3 linked regions of the Nothobranchius furzeri genome follow. The protein of the gene in region 1 purifies or fractionates together with the protein of each later gene. This does not show direct contact. Links are inferred from orthologs where the notes say so. Each region holds a gene or a part of one and is shown in the gene's direction. Other genes may lie near its edges.

The links.
Region 2: the proteins of slf2 (region 1) and slf1 purify together in Homo sapiens (co-immunoprecipitation; 3 studies listed by BioGRID and IntAct, with this or other methods). This does not show direct contact. The link is inferred for Nothobranchius furzeri from reciprocal best matches to the Homo sapiens genes SLF2 and SLF1.
Region 3: the proteins of slf2 (region 1) and smc5 purify together in Homo sapiens (affinity purification with mass spectrometry; 3 studies listed by BioGRID and IntAct, with this or other methods). This does not show direct contact. The link is inferred for Nothobranchius furzeri from reciprocal best matches to the Homo sapiens genes SLF2 and SMC5.

What each region holds. Positions count from the first base shown.
Region 1 is NC_091752.1:20,503,150-20,509,999, reverse strand, and holds part of slf2 (SMC5-SMC6 complex localization factor protein 2), read left to right. Parts: coding exon 1-729; intron 730-812; coding exon 813-892; intron 893-970; coding exon 971-1,078; intron 1,079-1,176; coding exon 1,177-1,344; intron 1,345-1,446; coding exon 1,447-1,552; intron 1,553-4,700; exon of another isoform or gene 4,701-4,831; coding exon of another isoform or gene 4,832-5,035; intron 5,036-5,121; coding exon of another isoform or gene 5,122-5,532; exon of another isoform or gene 5,533-5,658; intron 5,659-6,850. Other genes in the region: piggyBac transposable element-derived protein 4-like, read left to right, coding at 4,832-5,035, 5,122-5,532. UniProt on the Homo sapiens protein: Plays a role in the DNA damage response (DDR) pathway by regulating postreplication repair of UV-damaged DNA and genomic stability maintenance.
Region 2 is NC_091757.1:41,839,508-41,846,457, reverse strand, and holds the start of slf1 (SMC5-SMC6 complex localization factor protein 1), read left to right. Parts: upstream 1-3,363; 5' UTR 3,364-3,768; intron 3,769-4,537; 5' UTR 4,538-4,549; coding exon 4,550-4,660; intron 4,661-6,950. UniProt on the Homo sapiens protein: Plays a role in the DNA damage response (DDR) pathway by regulating postreplication repair of UV-damaged DNA and genomic stability maintenance.
Region 3 is NC_091755.1:27,651,079-27,658,028, forward strand, and holds the start of smc5 (structural maintenance of chromosomes protein 5), read left to right. Parts: upstream 1-2,371; 5' UTR 2,372-2,573; coding exon 2,574-2,737; intron 2,738-3,051; coding exon 3,052-3,193; intron 3,194-3,415; coding exon 3,416-3,468; intron 3,469-3,628; coding exon 3,629-3,791; intron 3,792-4,154; coding exon 4,155-4,289; intron 4,290-4,471; coding exon 4,472-4,612; intron 4,613-4,699; coding exon 4,700-4,861; intron 4,862-4,932; coding exon 4,933-5,004; intron 5,005-5,121; coding exon 5,122-5,377; intron 5,378-5,460; coding exon 5,461-5,615; intron 5,616-5,790; coding exon 5,791-5,904; intron 5,905-6,006; coding exon 6,007-6,101; intron 6,102-6,222; coding exon 6,223-6,355; intron 6,356-6,505; coding exon 6,506-6,679; intron 6,680-6,803; coding exon 6,804-6,950. UniProt on the Homo sapiens protein: Core component of the SMC5-SMC6 complex, a complex involved in repair of DNA double-strand breaks by homologous recombination.

The sequences.
Region 1 (6,850 bases):
GGTGACATAAATGAGCTTTTCACACCTGATCCTATGGTTTACGTGGTCAACTCCTTGTGTAAGACTGCAAAGACCAAGATGGTTGAGAAAAACATTAACTCACAAACCTTAGGAACATGTTCCAGCCCTCCTGCTGGCTGTGTGCCTCCAGTAACTACATCCTCTGGTCACATGACTTCCCATTCCAAAGTAACAGGACTTCCACAGGCAGTGTCCTCCTCAGAGCATAACCTGCTGTTCTCGTTGCCAACTGTGAGTTTAAAGCGCATTAAACTAGAAAAATTTAAACCTTTCATGTGTCCTAAAAACAGCCCTGGCCCGTGTTCAGAAAGACAACTTACAGTTGAGGCTGTAAGGGAGAGTGTTAAAATTCATCACAAACAATCACCATCAGCCTCGGCCAGTCCGAGTTTGCGTGCTTTGGACACACCAGCCACTAAACTAACACCGTCACCTCCTCGCAGAAGGTCTCTGTCACTGGAGAGACAGGCGAGCGAAAGGAGTAAAAAGGAGGTGAATGAAGAGGATCCCGCTGATGTAGAGCTAGACCTGGACTTAAGCATTACATATGATATCAAAGAAACCCAGAGCTCAGATGGCAGCGAAGAGGAAGAGCTGGTTTCCTTCCAGGAGATTATGGAGCGCGTTACCAAGGTTCCAGATACACCGGAGAAAGAAGCCTTCTCCGAGCCGAGCACACCCGGGCTTCGCAGCTCCCAGTCAAAAACCGTACGTTCCACGTGAATCCTCTTTGTTAAAAAGTCAGAGCTGTTCTGGATTCGTAGTTGTTACCTTTATTGTTATCTTGGCAGGTGCAGCCATCCTCCACTAAAGCAGTGGTCTACAAGAACAGTCTTGACCAGATGTTGAAGGAATTTGATGACAACAAAAGGTACATTTGAGGAAACTGAACAGTGGTTCTAAACTGTAGCCCTTGCTACTAAATTGGTTTTTGATCTAAATTCATCAGAGCCAAAGAGATCGAGGCGGAGCTTCTAACTGCCTGCAACGGAGGTCTGTTGAAATTGGCTGAATTTGAGGAGTCTGAAGAGAACCAGGATGTCTCCAGTGAGCAACAGTAAGGAAAGCTAAGATCATGTTTACACTTAACACTGCTACCTAAACATTAGAAGTTTTTTGTGCCTGCTTTGTTAATTTATTTGGTTTGTTTCTCAGGGAGTTCCTTCAGCGCTACTCACTGATGTCCGCTGCAATCAGAGAAGTCCCTCCAGGAGAAATGGTGTTCAACTTGGAGAAATTTGGCCAAATCTTCAATGAGCAAACACTGCAGTTGAGGCAGTGCATGGTGAATCCTCAGGGCACGGCACAGAAGACACTTCTTTGGTAAGCTACGATTACACACAGGAAATATCACAGCTGACTGCTGAACTAGCTAACCAAAAGGTGCCGTTATGTGTTGACTTTTGTTTTTCCACTTCCTGCCAGGTCCAGCCCTGCTCAGCTGAGACTTCATTTAAACATTGGGCTGTTTCAGGAATCGTACAACTGTAACTCACCCTGTCCCACTCAGGTTTCCTGTTTCCTTTTCAAGGTAGGCTCAGCACACTGTTGTATTATGTTGTTCGCTGGGTTTTTAAAAGTAAAAGTAGAGATTCAGACATTAGTCAGTATCAAAATATACTCTGTACAGGGTTTCCCCCAGAAAATGGGAGTGGGAGTGGGAGGCTGCACACGTTCCCCTGCTGTTTCTCACCAGTATCAGCTGATGGAGGGCTCTAGTTTCGTTGCACCGTTCGTGTCAGCAGACACGGTGGGGTCGGGGAGGGGGTCGGGGTATGACGCTTAGCCTGGCGGGTGGCCAGGCTTATAAAGCACTGGGGGAAACCCTGCTGTAGCAAGAGTCACATTGTTTTTGGCTCTAGTTGATGCAGAACTTCCCACACAGCATCACTGCAGCTGCTCAGCTCCTCCTGTCACTACCAGTCTAAAGCCACTTTCACGCTGCAAGCATCAACGGAACGGCAGCGAAGTGGCACCGCTTCAAATAGAATCCCATTATAGTCTATGGAGAGTTTCATACCAGCCGTGACGCGGCATGCCGCGCAGCGCCGCTAAAGATAAGACCAAGTTCTATTTTTTTCCGCGAGCCGCTTCTGGGACACGTCAATTTCCGCAGTTCACATAGTGCGAGACAGGAAACCACACAGTTTCAGTGTAAAATCCCCGGTTATTTTCAAAATAAAATTCAACGTTGCCATGTTATATAGGATTTACATCAGTTCATGTGACCGAACAGCTTTGTTTACCACCAGTTTCTTTCGAGAAGTGCAACGGTGTGATTCCTCATGGTGGTTGTGATCTCTCGATGAGGAAGGTGTCGGAACATCTCGGGGGATTTAAGAATCTCGTGTAGGGCTGGGCGATATGGCAAAAATAGAATATCACGATTTTTCCAATATTTTATCACGATTTCGATTTTATCACGATTTATCCATGAAGAGCATAACTTCAATTGCGTGTTAAAAAAGAGAAACATTGAATAATTAAACATTTATTCATATTAGGGATAATCAACACAGTGCTAACACACTTATATTTTAAACTCACACCAGAGATGATAAAAGCCCTGAGAGAAACAATTACAAAAATCAGTTTTTCTCGTTTTTCAAGTAACTTAACATAAATGAAAATCGTAAACATATTTAACCCTTACCTCACATTAGAGCATTTTTTTGTGCTGACACGTGTATTTTTGTGAATAACTTTGGCTATGTTAATGCAATTTATCTAATTTTTATGGAGGATGTGTATTTTGGAAGGAATTACAAAAAAAAGTTTGAAAAAATATTCAACCTACTTTATTAAAACGTGGAAATCATTTTGTACAGTTAAGCACATTGAAGCATTTTTTTGTGCCATTGACTTTCATGTAAATCATATATTTTTAATTAGCATAAATATTGGCATAATTTTAAAAAATTATGATTGTGCCCGTGTTTACAGTCTCATCACAAATGTAAGAAGCAGTTTTTACTGTTTTTCACTACATGGCATACTTTCTCCATATATAGCAGGGCAATGGCTGACCCAGCATTTAAACTGAATGATTTAGCTGTATTTCTTTACCTCTGACCGCCCATTATAATACATATTTTGCAAAAAAATGGTTTGTGTGTTATTTAGAGATGCCATACAATAGTTTGCATGTGTGTGTTCTGAATTTTTGGTAATTGTGCTTTTTCAGTGTTCTTTCAAAAAATAAGCCTGACTGAATGTACAAAATTAGCTTATTCTGCAAAATAGCATTTTGACATGTGTTCCTTTGTGTGTGATTGTTCAGGCATGCGTGTATGTAGGTATCAAAGCACTTTACAGATCTTCAAAGGACAGATCTGTGATCATTATCTGGAGTGGTTGAGCAGGTGTGGGCCATGGGAGTGTAGGGGGGGGGGGGGGGGGGCACAGGTTCTCACACTCTGTTGACTTCATGAATATTCATCAAAGGCATGCTATATATCAAAAATCAAAGGATTTTCTGCTAAATTTCAGATACTCATTCACAATTTTACTTTTGCAAAATGTTATTTCAATAAGTACAAAGCATTTGCATGGATGAAAGCTAAGATGAAGGCTGAAAAACTTCAAAGGCATACATTTGTTTTTCAAAACAAATTCCTGCAGAATCGAATTTTGTTTACATTCAGTAGGGGCAGCTTACACAGGTGCACCAATTGACTAAAAGTACATATATGAGACTCAGATCAGGATTCATTTCTTTGAACCGCAACCATGAGAAGAAGATTCAATGTGAATGAAGCCCTGGAGGTGTTTCAGCAGATTGAGGAAGAGGGAGAGTCAGCCTCATCCTCATCCACGGATGACAGCTCTTGTTCGGATGAAGAGGCTGAAGATCAGGCCTTTACCCCAGGGCCTGATTCAGGGGAAGAAATGGAAGAAGGTTCAGATGAGGAGGTGGTTGCTGCAGAGGAGAGATGGGACCATCCTTTGTGGCAATCAAAGAGCGGGATCGCCTGGTCCCCGACACCCGACACCAGGATCCCCTTTCGGGCTCCAGACGTCCGCCATTGTGGGATCACCCGCCTCGCTGTCAGCTACATCCAAACTATTGAGGACAGCTTCGATTTTTTTTTGACTACAACAATCCTAGATGTAATAATAAAATACACCAATATAGAGGGAAGAAGAAAATATGACGATTGGACAGACGTTGACCGCGTGGAACTCCGGGCATTGTTTGGGTTGCTCATCCTCGCTGGTGTGCACCGTTCCCGTGGGGAATCATCTGCCAGCCTCTGGGGGGAGGAAACGGGGAGGCCGATATTCAGAGCCACGATGAGTTTGGGAAGGTTCCACATGCTGACTGCAACATTGCGCTTTGATGACCGCTTGACCAGGGCAGCCCGCCGGTTGGTGCAGCAGGACAAGCTCGCTCCCCTGCGGGAAGTGTGGGACCTCTGGGCGGCCCGGCTCCCTCTCGCCTACAACCCCGGTGAAGATGTCTGCGTTGATGAACAGCTCGTCGGATTCAGAGGTCGCTGCAACTTCAAGCAGTACATGCCCTCAAAACCGGCAAAATATGGCATCAAGCTGTAGGTGGTGTGCGATGTGGCCACTTCTTATGCCTGGGGGATTATTCCCTATCTGGGCAAGACGACTCGAGACGCCCCGGCAGAAAGGGGGCAAGGGAAGCGGGTGGTGCTGGAACTCACGGAGGGTCTGAGCGGCCGCACTGTCACCACGGACAATTTTTTCACCTCGCTGGTTCTTGGAGAGGAGCTGCTAAAAAAAAATCTGTCTTGTGGGAACAGTTAGGCGCAACAAGCCAGAGTTGCCCCCACAGCTGCTCCAGATGAAAAGCAGAGCGGTTCTGTCCTCCCTGTTCGGCTTCACCTCCACCGCCACCGCGGTGAGCTACATTCCAAAGCGCCGGCGGAACGTTCTGCTCCTCAGCACCAAACACCATCAGGTTCAGATCCAGGAGGGACCGCAGCAGAAGCCGACCGTAATCATCGATTACAACCGCTGCAAAGGGGCAGTTGACAACTTGGACAAGGTAATTTATTTATTTTATTTTGTTTTATTATAATTCACCAACCTAATTGCATATGTAATTTATTTATTCATTTATTTTTATTCCAGCTCGTTGCAACATACAGCTGCCGCCGCAAGACCAGACGTTGGCCCATGTCGCTCTTCTGCAACATGTTAGATGTGAGCGCCTACAATGCCCTGGTCCTGTGGCTGTCTGTGGAACCGGCCTGGAACCAACAGAAGAGGAGCATCCGTCGAAGGCTGTTCTTGCAGGAGCTTGGGACCTCCATGGTGAGACCAGCCCAGGCAAGGCGCACTCGCTTGCCGCGGTCCAGCAGCGCTGCAGCTCTGTTGGAGGTGCAGCAGCAAGTGGAGCCAGGTCCAGCCCAGGAGCAGACAAAGAAAAGATGCCACCTTTGCAGAGGGAAGAGGAGCGTGCATGCACGCTTTTGCCATGCATGTGGACAGGCTGTGTGCAAGGAGCACTCAACAGTTGTGTGCTCAGCCTGCAGCTGTTAGCTCACTCCCCTCTGTGTTTCTCTCTCTTTCTCTCTCTCTCTCTCTCTCTCTCTCTCTCTCTCTCTCTCACACACACACACACACACACACACACACACACACACACACACACACACACACACACACACACACACACACACACACACACACACACACACTTTTTCTTTGTTCGTGTGCTTTAATAAAGTGTTCAACTGGTCATCTTTGTAAGTGCATTTTTTTGTGCTCTAATGACTTTAACGTGAGTATTTTAGAAAATGTGACATTACACAAAAACTACAAAGTGAGCAAAAAATATTTTTATGCCTATTTGTGACACTCCAAGGCTGTGACAACTTACCCACAAAAAAGGTAATCTGGACATAACACACAAAAAATGATTTGATTTTTTCATTTTTTGTACAGTTTTCAAACTTTGGGTTTTGCTAATAAACCTAGCAATGAAGGGGTTAAATCTGAGAAACACACACATATTTTATTATATTTTGTTAGGGCTGAAGCCAAGGATGAAATTCATGTAAAAAAATTGGGACTTATGAAATATTATATAATATTTCTATGGGAAGCTTTCTAAGTGCATTTTTTTGTGCTCTAATGACTTTAACGTGAGTATTTTAGAAAATATGACATTACACAAAAACTACAAAGTGAGCAAAAAATATTTTTATGCCTATTTATGACACTCCAAGGCTGTGACAACTTACCCACAAAAAAGGTAATCTGGACATAACACACAAAAAATGATTTGATTTTTTCATTTTTTGTACAGTTTTCAAACTTTGGGTTTTGCTAATAAACCTAGCAATGAAGGGGTTAAATCTGAGAAACACACACATATTTTATTATATTTTGTTAGGGCTGAAGCCAAGGATGAAATTCATGTAAAAAAATTGGGACTTATGAAATATTATATAATATTTCTATGGGAAGCTTTCTAAGTGCATTTTTTTGTGCTCTAATGACTTTAACGTGAGTATTTTAGAAAATATGACATTACACAAAAACTACAAAGTGAGCAAAAAATATTTTTATGCCTATTTATGACACTCCAAGGCTGTGACAACTTACCCACAAAAAAGGTAATCTGGACATAACACACAAAAAATGATTTGATTTTTTCATTTTTTGTACAGTTTTCAAACTTTGGGTTTTGCTAATAAACCTGGCAATGAAGGGGTTAAATCTGAGAAACACACACATATTTTATTATATTTTGTTAGGGCTGAAGCCAAGGATGAAATTCATGTAAAAAAATTGGGACTTATGAAATATTATATAATATTTCTAAAGGAAGCTTTCTAAGTGCATTTTTTTGTGC
Region 2 (6,950 bases), on another chromosome or scaffold:
CATCCTGATCTGCCAACTTATCCTAAAGCATGAGTGTGTGTATGTGAGTGCACGGGGGTTAGGATTCACCAGAAAGCACACGGGGCCTCATTAGTGCAGTACTTTAAATCATCTAGTCTCCATTGTCTTGTCATTAGCTCTTTAGAAAGCAGATGTTAGACGAGCCCCTGCGTGTTTCAAAGACTTGCAACAGGGACAACTGGGCCAGGCACTGAGGCGCTGCCTGCCAAAGACATCAGCCGCACCACTTTTAGAGCAGGAGAAACCCAGCTTTGCAGAAACACATACACACACATCATTGCATTATCTCTCTTGCTGCTGCCTGTCTTCCCCAGCTAGGCTAACACAGAGCCCCATTTACAGTAATGAGTTTGTCCTGAAATATTTAGCAGAATATCCCCCAGGCTGCAGCTTTAAAACCACTTAGAGTGTGTCAAGCTAAAGTCAACATTATTTTAAAGGGAGTACCTTAACAGCCCTGTTACAAAAACATCCTAAATTAAACAGGTGCATTTCCTATGATCAAAACAGTGCTGAAAACTATCTCATGTGTTCCCCAGGGAATTAAGGGCTGGGATTCACTACTGCTGTTCTACCAAGCTGCCTAGCTACTTCACATTGTCATTAACAGATTTTCTTCTTGATCATGTCAGGTGGAAGATTTAGGATATAATTTTTACTTGTGTGTGTGTGTGTGTGTGTGTGTGTGTGTGTGTGTGTGTGTGTGTGTGTGTGTGTGCGTGCGTGCGTGCGTGCGTGTGTGTGTGTGTGTGTGTGTGTGTGTGTGTGTGTGTGTGTGTGTGTGAGTCTGTGTGTGTGTGTGTGTGTGTGTGTGTGTGTGCGTGTGCTTGCATATGTCTGTTAATGTTTTTAACCTGTTATGGGAATCTGGGGTCATTTTGTAAAGCAATTTGAGTAGCACTTTGTTTGAAAAGCGCTTTATAAATAAATTTGATTGATTGATTGATGTTTCTCCCGGTGTTGATGTCCGTGTGCAGAAATTCACAACATGCTGCTGGTCATTATTTTCTTTGCAATATCATTTTTTTTAAATATCTTGCATGAAACTGTTGATTCATTGAGCTGAAACAAGCCTGGATTGCTGTAACAAATGCAGACGTGATTAACTGAGACTACATCAAAATAAAACATGTGTATACATTAGAATTGTAACAGTTCAACTATCTACACGGAGTGTATGTTCAATAAACCAATGGCAATGATCCATCCATCCATTAATTTTCGTATGCTTATCTGGAGTCGGGTTGTGGGAGCAGCAGCCTAAACAGAGGGGCCCAGACTTCCCTCTCCTCAGCACTTGGCTGAGACCATGGTCTGGAGTCAGAAAAGGGTAGAATGACTTCTCCAGGTCAAGCACGAAGTATCTCGGGGTCTTGTTCATGAGTGAGGGAAAGATGGAGAGCAACATCGGCAGGCAGATTGGTGCTGCATCTGCAGTGATGCTGGTGTTGTACTGGTCTGTCATGCAGAGAGAGCTGAGCTGGAAGGCGTAGCTCTTTATTTATCAGTCGATCTACAATCCTACCCTCACCTATGGTCATAAGCTTTGGGTAGCGACCGAAAGAACGAGATTACGGATAAAAGCAGCCAAAATGAGTTTTCTCTACAGGGTGGCTGCATGGGCTCTCCCTTAGAGATAGGGAGAGAAGCTCGGTCATCCGGGAGGGGCTCGAAGTAGATCAGCTGCTCCTCCACAAGAAGAGGAGCCAGCTGAGGTGGCTCAGGCATCTGATTAAGATGCTTCCTGGACACCTCCCTGGTGAGGTATTCTGGGCACGTCCAAGTGGGAGGAAAACTAAGGATGACCCAAGACACGCTGAAGGGACTATGTTTCTCGGGTGGCCAGGGAATGATGGGATTCCCCCGAAAGAGCTGGCCCAAGTGGCTGGAGAGAGGGAAGCGCTGGCATTGATATAAAATGCAAAAATAACTGTTTAATGCATTTTTATTTTGAGATGCATTTGTTTCAGGAACTAGCAGAATGCCACACAAGAGGAGAGATTAACACGGTAGGATTTGGAGTCTTACTTCCTGATATTTGGTCATCTTGGCTCGGATTGGATAACAGCAAAGCGACTCTACCACTGACTCCATTTGCTCTGTGACATGGATGTGTTATCTCCACAAACAGCACAAGCCTGAATAAATTCTGCTGAGCGGTGGAGTTGCTAATGCACTAGTCGAGACATTTTCTGCTGTTTGCTGGATGCTAAAACAAAAACAGCCTAGATGGGTCAAGATGGGTGAGTCCATGAATGTTAAGTGACAGTGTGAAGTAGATCTGTCAGGCTTTTTAAATCCTAGAATTTCACCATCTAATTTCTAAAGCACCAAAGAGAGGGATATAAAAAACAAAGGAGAGACTGATCACATGTGCTGGCTCCATGGTTAGAGGTAGAGTCTGTTGTGGTGGTTGCAGAGAGGAAGATTCTAAAAAAGCAGCTGGCATTTATTAATGAGGCTAGCCATCCTCTATAACATAGTTATGGTCTTTTTCCCAGATCTATCTATCCATTTATTCATCCATCCATCCACCCACCCCAAGAATGCCAATGAGAAAGTTGATTGCTTATTTCAACTTGATTTTCAGGGACCCTGACAAACGTGATAAGCCAACACAAAATTATCGGAAAAGTATTAAAAGGTTGCAAATTTAAAAAAGAGTCTAAGTAAAACAGCATTTAATTAGTAGTATAAAATGAATTTACAAGTGAATATGAAAAACACTTTTTATTAATACAAGTTGATTAATGAACACAAATGTGGCCAGCACTCTGATTTAAAGAGCCCAAGAAATTACTCATGTAATTCTAACATGTCTGCTTCATTCACAAACTGTAGCAAATTTCTGATACATCTGATACTTAAACATGACGCGGTGTGTGTGGAAGAACAGTCAAAACAGAACCTAATGCATTGTTTTACCTTTCACGAGTTCCCTGCTAATCCATTCCGTGTTAATCCATTTAAACACCCAGAGAAAATTAGGCTATCGTCAGTTCCAGCATGTCTTTGTTGATCTTCATCAGTAGTTTGTAAAATAAAATGATAAAATGAACATATTCATCACTGTGACGCGTAAATCTCGTTGTCATTAAATGGGACTCTTCACTGGGAAACAAACAACCGCGTTCTGTCAGCTTTAGTCGTTTCTGGGGGAAAAAAATAATTAATTTTACGATTAGGCTGAGTAAATATACCCGTTATACAGCCAGAGTACAGTGTTTTTGTTTGTTCCGTAGCTAGAAAGCGTCCGTAACAACCACCCGGAAGTAGTTGCACTAGTTCCGGTTGTTGGATTGTACCAGAGCAAAGAAAATGGGGAGAAATGATTCCGAATGGACTAAATTAAACATTAATTTAATCAATACGAAAGTAAATATTTTTAAAAATCTTTGCCTTAGTATGTTTACGTGCAATTTTTTAAATATTAGACTACTTATTTACCTAAAAGCTACAAAACGCAGGTTGATAGTCGATCAAATCACCTTTTTTCATATTAGATAGTAGAATCCTGGAGCTGTTTTCATACGGACAGCTTTAAACGGAAATCTGCATTTTATTTACAATAACAGGACATGCCTTAGTGTGCATTCGTTGGTAAAGTTGAGCATATATATTAAGTCAAAAGCGGAGATATGAAACCAAACACCGATGCAAGCTTTCTTTTTCTTGTATTGATGACATTCGCTGACGTGTTTTTTTGGCGCGCCTGGATGTAAATGGGAGTCGTCTTCGGCATAAAAGGTACCTGATCACTAAATCAGTGGGATTTTTGCTTCTAAACGGGAAATATTCGAACTAAAAAGCACACAAAGATATGGAAGTAGCATCAACACGTTATGACACAGCTAAGCAGTTGCTAAGTGGAGTATTTTCTGTTTACAAATTGAGATCTTTAGTATTTGTTGAGATACACAACAGGAAAGTATTAGGATAACACGTGTTTCTAAGCACGAATCAGTTGTGGCCACATATAACTAAATAGTGCACTGCTATGTAATATTTATTTTGAAAGTATCTCAGCAACTACAGTGCACCTTACCAGTCATTTGATAATCAAAATAGTTCATGTTTATTGAAGTGCAAGGCAAATCACAATGTGTGAGTTCCAGTACATGGCCCAGTCACACCTACCTACTGCAGCAACAGCTTGTTGACAGTAACGGGGGGGGGGGTATCTGTGCTGCCAGCTGGGTTTGCTTGTTATCATTAGAAAAAAAAATCTATATAAAATCAACCAAACGGTTAATTTCTCCTGTATTGTAATAGTTTGTGGCATATGGGGTGATTATATTACATATCTTCTGAATAAATATGATCTTATAAATGAAAGTTGGAATCCTCAATGTATTATCAAACCAAGAGTTCAGCTCAGTCAACTGATAATAAAAGACAGTCTTAAGTCATCCTGTCAAACAAGAATTACTGCATCACAATTTTAAGGAAGTTAATAGCCTACTTAATCTGTAACTTGATCTTTTTCACTTTAACCTAATTCTATCCTCTGTTTTAGCGCACCTTTGTGATGGAGGTCTGCAGACACATTTTTCAGATCTCTGGGATCAAAAATCGTGAAAAGAAGAGAATTTTGCTCAAAGGGATCAACCAGCTAGGTGGGAAATACATCGGTGGTTCGGTGAGTCGAGATTACTGTAGATTTTTGGGGGAAATGTCAGATGCACTGGAAACAAAGTGACGAATTTTGCAAAAGTTGATTTTTATACACCAATAGCTTCTTAGTTTCTGTCACTCGAGACAGTTTGCAATCTGTTGGTTAAGAAACTAAATTAAAATGTGACTCTTGCTCTTAATCAGTGTTTTTGCATAAAAAAACAACAACATGGTGGCTGTGTATCTACTGAAGTCTCTTAACAGTTCCCATGACACACCTTTCTGCAGAAAATGATGAATCTATAGCTTTAATTTAATAACATCAATCAATCAAAGCTTTATTTATATAGCGCCTTCCGCAACCCTGTCAGGTAGCCCAAGGCGCTGAACATAGTACATGACAAAGTTAAATATGGTGAATAAATCGAAAATAAAAGCAGTTCAAATTACAAAAAAAGGTAAAACATTCTAGTAGAAGACAAATGGGTAAAACAAGGGATAGAGTGAACCAATGAAAACAGGGAAATAAAATCAACATTAAAGATGGCCAAATTCAAACACGTTCAGGAAACGCCAAGCGGAGGAGGTGGGGTTTTAGGCGACTCTTAAAGACTGGCAGAGATGGGGACAGCCTAACTGAGGGTGGCAACTGGTTCCAGAGTGACGGTGCTAGGACTGAGAATGCCCGGTCCCCGCGAGTATGACACCTCGAACGAGGGACAGTGAGCAGGCCTTGGTCAGAGGAGCGCAGAGCGCGTGATGGGGAATATCTGTTCAGGAGTGTGGCTAGATAGGGGGGGAGCATTACTCTGGAAGAAATTGTAGACAAAGACGAGGAGTTTGAAGTGTGAACGATAACAAACCGGAAGCCAGTGCAGGGAGGCCAGAACCGGACTGATGTGGTCCCGTTTCCTGGTCCCAGTCAGGAACCTGGCTGCGCTGTTCTGCACAACTTGTAGGCAACGCAGTGATGTCTGACACAACCCTGCATAGAGAGAGTTGCAGTAATCAAGCCTAGAAATTACAAATGCATGCAGTACCCGCTCCAGGTGGGCTCTTGACAGCATTGGCTTGATTTTTGCAAGGCGTCTCAGGTGAAAGAAACTGGACCGGATCACAGAGTTGATGTGAGCATCAAATTTAAGTCCAGCATCAACTTTCACCCCCAAACTGGTGACAACTGGTTTTGAGTAGGGAGAAAGAGGGCCAAGATCAACATAACGACCCACATTCCTGCTGTTGGGGTGAAAAACAATGAGCTCTGTCCTTCCCTCATTCAGATGCAGATAGTTGGCCATTAGCAAAGACTTCACCTTGTTAAGACAGGACAAAAAGACTGGATGGAGTGTCCTTTCTCCTGGCCCAATGGAGAGTAAATCTGGCAATCGTCAGCATTGAGATGTAATGATAGGCCATGTTTACGAATGATTGACCCCAGAGGAAGCAGATAAATGGTAAACAAAAGAGGACCAAGGATTGATCCCTGCGGGACCCCCCAGCGGAGCCCCTCCCAAGAAGAAAAAAACATCACCCAGTTTAACACAGAATGTCCTGTTGTGGAGATACGATCTAAACCAATCCAGAGCTGACCCTTTGATCCCAACCCATCGTTCCAAGCAATCGAGTAGAATTGCGTGGTCAACTGTGTCGAAGGCTGCCGTCAGGTCTAACAACAGAAGCACCACAGATGTACCCTGATCTAGTGATAGATATATATCATTTAAAACCCTCAGTAGAGCTGACTCTGTGCTATGGCCAGACCTGAACCCTGATTGGAAAACCTCAAACAGATCTGAGTCAGCTAAATGTGAGACCAGCTGCTGATAAACGACTTTCTCAAGCAGACATATTTGGTGCTCAGTATTTGTTTTCCTGATAGGCGCTGAAGGCGTTACCACTGGCTAATTATTTTTCCGTTTGCAGTTCACGTGAGGTTCAAAGGCCTTATGGTACACTACAAAAGTGTTAACTGGATGTATTATAATTTAAAGAAATAATAATGTTGGAATTTATTCTCACAGAGCTTCAATAGCTGGTTGGATATCTGCCTTTTTCTAAAGTTTCAAATGTTGTTCACTATGAAATATGCTGTATTTAATATACACAGTCTATTGAACATTATCCATAAAAAACTTTTCATACAGTTTGGTGTTGTGCAAAGTGCTTAACAGCAAATTAGATTTAACAGGCAGGTAAAACAACAGCAGTGACTGAAAGAGGAACGTAGATACAGTTATAGACACCAAAACAGCTTCTCCACATCGAGGGTAGCCCAGTTATGATGGCTCGAGCATCTGGTTAGGGGAATGTCTCCT
Region 3 (6,950 bases), on another chromosome or scaffold:
ACAATTGCATAAAGTTACAGACTTTGCACAAACGTTACCATAAACGGATCAAAAGTTAACTAAACAATCTAATAAAATGTGTAGGAACTCACTTTTTTCACAGATGACCCCTCCATAGCAGGATGGTGGAGGTCCACTGCTTCTGTCCACTATCCGTGTTTCTGTTTTATTCCATTGATGAAATCAGGTGTCCTCACTCATCATACTGTTGTTGACGGGGAACCTTGCAGACTCGGTGTACTGTAGCAGCAGTCATCAGTGGTTGTAGACAGTGAAATCTCATTATGCCATTCAAGATTACCTCACAACCCCCACAGGACACAGGATGCTAGATTAGTTAATTACCACAGACGCAAATACCACTTAAAACCAACGAAGCATGTAGATGACTGCTCTCCCAACAAACTCAGTCACCAACAAAAAAAGTGTTTGTGTGAATTATCTATTTGAGTACCGGTATTCCCTAAAAAATAAAGTTCTTTAAACTAGGATTTTTTCCCAAAAGGATGTCACTGTATATTTGTGAAAAATAAAAACTCCAACTTTATCACTGTTATTTTGAAATGCTCTCTCTCTCTCTCTCTCTCTCTCTCTCTCTCTCTCTCTCTCTCTCTCTCTCTCTCTCTCTCTCTCTCTCTCTCTCTCTCTCTCTCTCTCTCTCTCTCTCTATATATGTGTATACATACATATATATATGTATATATATATATATATATATATATATATATATATATATATATATATATATATATATATATATATATATATATAATTTATTTATGTGGTTTACTGGATTTAAATCAATCTGTGTTAGATTAAGATCACAGTTGCTCAGATTATTTACAGGCAATCATTTCTCAAGTTATTTTGACCAGCAATTGTGGGTTTATTTGTTAGTAACTTTTTATCAGATGTAAAGTATTCTGTGTTACGAAAAGTGCTCTACAAGTAATCTTTGATTTACTGAATGACAGAAAAATTACAAGAACAAATAAAAACATAATGAAACAAAATCACACACATTGATTTCTCACTGTTGAATTGTTTATATTTTTTAATACTAAAGAATAGAAAAGTGTCTCGTTTACAAGGAACAATTTAGTATTTTAATTTTGATTAGCCTTGCAAAGCTTTAATCCAAAACATTTAATCAATTAAACAAAACAAAACAACAACAAAAAAGAAAAATTGTTGGACTTTTCCCACAACAAACCACTAGATGGCGACAGTCTCCAAGCTGGCCATGTCCCATGATGCAACGCGTGCGCTTCCTTTTATATAGAGCCGGAAGTGTATAGCCATCATAGCATGAGTGGCTGGTTGTGTGCGTGTTGTTAGTTAGCGAGCGTCTGTGTGAGTGAATGTGGAGTATGCATGTTGTATGTGTGTATATTTTTAAAAACCTACACAGTGATCTTATTTGATCTGGTCTGAGTTTGGCTCTGCTCTGACTAGAAATGATAAAAAAAGCGCTCGCGAGCTTCTATGGGGGCGATGAGCAGCCGGCGACAAACACCTAATGGGGCCTCCACATTTCGTGCTGTGGTCAGAAGTGATGAATTGATCAGATATACTAGTTCTGGGTCGGCTTGAGGTTCGCCTTAAAGCTTTACCTGTAAGAACAATGAGTAAAGAGGCGATTCTGATCTCACCACAGCCGAAAAGAAGCCACGAGACCCGCATGTTAGGAAATGGTGAAACAAAAGTGGCTTTCATTTGTATAGATAAAGATGGATGGATGGATGATCTTTATTGACAGACTCTTATGTCCAGATTAAAAAATAAATAAATAAAACAAAACATTAAAAACAAATAAGATAAAAGCATAAACATCTAAATCTATTTAAAAAAACTTACTATAAAGATGTTCCACACAAGAGTAACCACACAAACACTTCAGCCAGTGTTTCCTTATACTGGACAAATAGCGACAAATGCTCACAGCAGGATCAGTGATTGCTAAAATTATACTGTTGGCAGAGCTATCCAGTCGTTCTCTAAAAGTGAACATTAGTTTTCTTAAAAGAGCTTTAAAGTACAAATGCCTGCTGTTACAAACATCTGACTGGCACTGCCCCCTCTGGGTATTTTGAGTATGATTCTTAAGGCATCATTGAATGCAACATGCAGCTTATTCATGCTGCTTTGATTGTAAGATCAAAATTACTGCCCAACAAAACCAAAAATACTGCTCAACCACAGTTGGGCTGTATAAAGCGGAGTACAATATGCTTTAAATAAAGCCACCTTAACTGGTGAACAAAAACTTACGTGCTATAGTATTATTGGCCTGTGCATACAGCTTACAGCACCATGGCATGTAGTCATGCAAATGCTAAAATTGGCCATTAGAGACAAATTCGGACTTTTTTATGAGCAAAAACTACACAAGCATAAAAAAAATTACACAAGCATATCCGTGTTCCTGTTTTACTTTCATACATGTTCTCGTGATAGTTAGCGTTAACATTTTTATGTACATGTGACCTCTTAAAAGCTCAGCAAAACGCGCGAGAATAAGCAACGTGATCGTAGCCGAACCGTAGCCGCGAAGAGAATTTTGTTTAGTCGCTATGGGCGAATCAAGTAAAAGACCGAGATTAAGTCAAATTAGCAGAAACACGCAGACTTCTGCGAGCAGAGCAAGCGTGTTCAGAGGTGGACACTCGGATATTGCCGGAGGCGTTGGTACATTTGTTGAGGGTTCCATCCTTCGCATCACGATGAGAAACTTCCTGTAAGTTGTAGTTCCTTAACTGTCAAGAGTTCTACCGGTAGCCAGCAAACATCACATTGTGCTCTTAGATAACATACAAGCTTATAATAGCACCATTTGTTGTTTTATAAAGTTTTAAACCTTTTGATCACGTAGTTTGCGCACAGAAGTGAACAGCTAGCATACAATTAGTGGTTTAACGGCTCAATTTTAGCTGTTTAAATATAGTGATACAATAAATACAATGTTTTGTGTAAAATTAGCTATATAAGATAACATTTTGCGCAGTGTGACATAACCGAAAACTCCTAAATGTGTTTTCTGTCCACTGACAGAACGTATGACTTCTCTGTGGTCCATCCGGGATCCAATCTGAACATGATTGTTGGAGCTAACGGGACTGGGAAGTCCAGCATTGTATGTGCCATCTGCCTGGGTCTGGCTGGAAAGACAGCAATTCTGGGCAGAGGAGACAAGGTACACAAACCACCTGCACTGGTCTACTTGATTTATTCTGAAAAAGACCATTTAAGAAAGCGATGGAGTCAAGATTTTTATTGGTTTGTTAAAATCACACTGGTAATAAAGACATATAAACATTTGCAGAAACTATTTAATTTCTGTTGTTTATGCACCACAGAGTCATGATTGCTACAAGCTTTTAATGGTTAAATAAATTGATTTAGATTATTTATGCAGGTTGGGCTCTATGTCAAACGTGGCTGCAAGAAAGGCTCTATTGAGATTGAACTGTAAGTTACTTTACATAGATTTTCCTCTATTACACTTTTTGTATTTTTAATCTAAATTCCAGATTGATGCTCTTGCATAACAAGTACCAAGCTAATGGTTGACCAGCCAGATAACATTAGACATGCTTGCATGAAATGATGTCTGTTTTTGCCTCTACAGGTACAAAAATGGAGGTAATGTGATAATTAACAGAGAGATCCATGTAGAGAACAATCAGTCACTTTGGATGCTGAATGGAAGACACTGCAGCCTGAAACAAGTAGAAGAAGAGGTCAGGACTCTGCAAATTCAAGTCAGCAACCTCTGCCAGTTCCTCCCTCAGGTAGGTTTTCTAGATGTGATCTAGCTCAGTGGCCTAGTGGCAGAGTGTCTGTTCTGGGACTGGGAGATCAGGGATTGGATTCCCGGTCGGGTCATACCAAAAACTTTAAAACTGGGACCCAGTACATCCCTGCTTGACACTCAGCTTTAAGAGGTTGGATTGGGGGTTAAACCACCAAATAGTTTCCAAGCGCAGCCACCGCTGCTGCTCACCACTCCCCTCCATGGGGATAGGTCAAATGTGCAGATGAATTTCACCAGTGTGTAATGATGACTATGTGACTTTAACTTTAGTGCTTCACTTGTGCAAAGTAAAACGTGTCAGAAATCTTCATTTTCTAACTTCTTCTCTGTTCTGTCACAGGAAAAAGTTGGAGAGTTTGCAAAAATGTCCCAAATTGAGTTGCTTGAGGCAACCGAGAAGTCGGTTGGACCACCAGAAATGTACGAGTACCACTGTGAGCTTAAAAACTTCCGCAGCAAAGAACGAGAACTGGAGGTGAAACTTTATTTTATTTGTGTAACAGTTTTTTTTTGGGAATAACTGTTTAGATAATCTAATTCCCGTTGAGATCTCAGCTATGTCAGCTGGATTGTTGTTACATGATAATTACATGTTTGCTGTTGTGAAAGATGCAACTCATCGTTTCGCTGCGGTTTTGGCGGGATGTTTGTCTGTAGAACGTCTTGAAGGAGAAGACGAGTTTCCTGGAAAAGGCCAAGCAGAGGAATGAGAGGAACAAGCTCGATGTCAACCGCTACTATGAAAAAAAGCGGCATCTTGACGTCATCGAGCTGCTGGAGAAGAAGAAACCGTGGGTGGTGAGTTATTCACATAAAGCACTCTGCACAAACTGTGGAAACAAATCCAGTTTGTAATCTGATTACCCTCTTTGGCTTTGATATCAGGAGTATGAAACCACTCGTAAGGAGCTGGAGGGTGTGAAGAAGGAGCGAGAAGAAGCCAAAAAGCAGCTTTTGACCCTGAAGCAAGCCCAGGCGCCCATGCTGAAGAAAATCCAGCAGATTGATGAAAAGCTGAAGCCCATTGAGGCAGAAATGAAAGCTAAGGTGACCGAAGGTGGCTTGCTGTCTAAATCTGTTACATGAACATTAAGTTAAACTAACCATGTGTGTTTCAGACTGCTGCTATCAAAGAAGCTTCTCAGAAGTGCAAGCAGAAACAAGATCAGCTGGATCGAAAACATAAAGAGGTGGTGGTGGTGGTGGGGTGGGGGGGGGGGGGGGTGTTGCTCAAAGAAGAGGAAAAAAAAAGTAACAATTAAATGTTTGAAATAACGTCATCCTTGTGGCTCATCTCTCCTCTGCAGATTGATGACATTAAACAGGCACTGAGGATGAAGCAGATTGAAGAGGAAGACCACCAGAAAAGAATCGTCAACACTAGACGGACCATCGAAGACCTGAAGGTGGAGCTGGACAAGCTCGGAGACCAACTAGACACCACCCTGCTGATTTCTGCTATTAGTGTGGAACTTAAGGAGATCCAGGAGAGGACAGCCAGGATTGAAGCGGAAAAGGCCGACCTGCGCAGGGAGAGGGACAACGTCATCGCAGAGTCCAGAAGTGAGTTTAAAACTAAACAGACTTTACATTTAATGATTAAAATAACAGACGGCATTGCTAGGATTTTATTATTTTAATGCCAGGCTTGCAGAAGAAGCTCAATGACATGAACAACCTGATGAACATGAAAGAAGAGAAGCTGCGGACACGCCACAGGGACACACACACCGCTCTCCTTTGGCTCAGAGAGAACAGACAGCTGTTCAGAGGAAACATTCATGAGCCCATGATGCTGGTGGTGAGTTCCATCACTGGAAATGTGTATTACTAGAAGTTTTAGTTGCTGTAAAATGCCGAAGTTTGATGTTTCAACCCACAAGTTTAGTCATAAATGTATTAAATGAAAAATAAAATCTCGTTTTCCTATAAGTAGATGTTAAAACGTAATGGTTACTTGGCCTTCGTTATCACAGATCAACGTAAAGGATCATCAGAATGCCAAGTATGTGGAGAACCACATCTCCTTCCACGACCTGCGAGCGTTTGTCTTCCAGAGGAAAGACGACATGGAGAAATTCTTGGTGGAGGTCAGGGCGGTTTGCATTCAGAACACTGCTCAGCTGAGAGACAGCATTTCTGAGTGTGAACATGTAACTGTTCATAGTAAGAATTTAAAATATTTTCTTCAGGTTCGTGACAAGATGAATCTGAAAGTCAACGCCATTTCTGCTCCGGAGGTGTCCTGTTCTGGACGTCCACCGTCAAGAAACATCGAGTCCATGAGGTGAGAGAGAGTGAAAGTGTGTTAATGATCAGCCAAGGTGGGGGCTGCTCCAGTGTGTTTTCCTCTCCATCTGCCACCCTTTTTATTTATCAGATACGGTTTTTTATTTTATCGTCTGCAGGCGTTTTGGGTTCTTCACCTACCTCCGTGAGATGTTCAATGCCCCCGATGAGGTGATGAGTTACCTGTGTTCCCAGTACAAAGTGCATGACGTTCCAGTCGGCAACGAGCAAACCAAAGCCTTGATTAATACAGTACGTTCTTTTTATTGCATGTTTCTGATTCTCCTTTACACCTAAAGACAATCAGAGAAGATTTTCCCTTTTAAAAGTGGATCATAGGAGCTTTTATTTTAACTTACAAACACAGCTGTTCATAACACCTACTTTGTGTTTTGTTTTTAGGTGATTCAGGAGCCTTACCTTAAGGTGTTGTATACGACAGATGAGAGGTACACTGTAAAAAGGTCCATCTATTCCAACAAGACCAGCACCAGTAACTCAGCTGTGCAAAAGTCTCAGTACCTCATCATCACCGTGGACGCTGAAGAGAGGCGACAGCTGGAGCAGCAGCTGAGGGTGAGACAGTCGTCGTCTTAGTTTTTTTTAAAATCAGTTTTAATCTCCTATGAAACACGAGGGACCCTGACAACGTTTAGGTGTGATATTATTTAGTCATTCTTGCATTTTCTGTTGCAACCAGGCCTGTGAGTCAAAACTGCAAGAAATCGATGAACGAATGAAGACCCTGCAGACGGAGTTTGCTGCACTGAATCGCCATGAAAACGAGCTGTTGTCGGAGAAGAAGCGTTTGTCTGAGTTAAAGGGAAAAAAGAAGCAACTGGAGCAG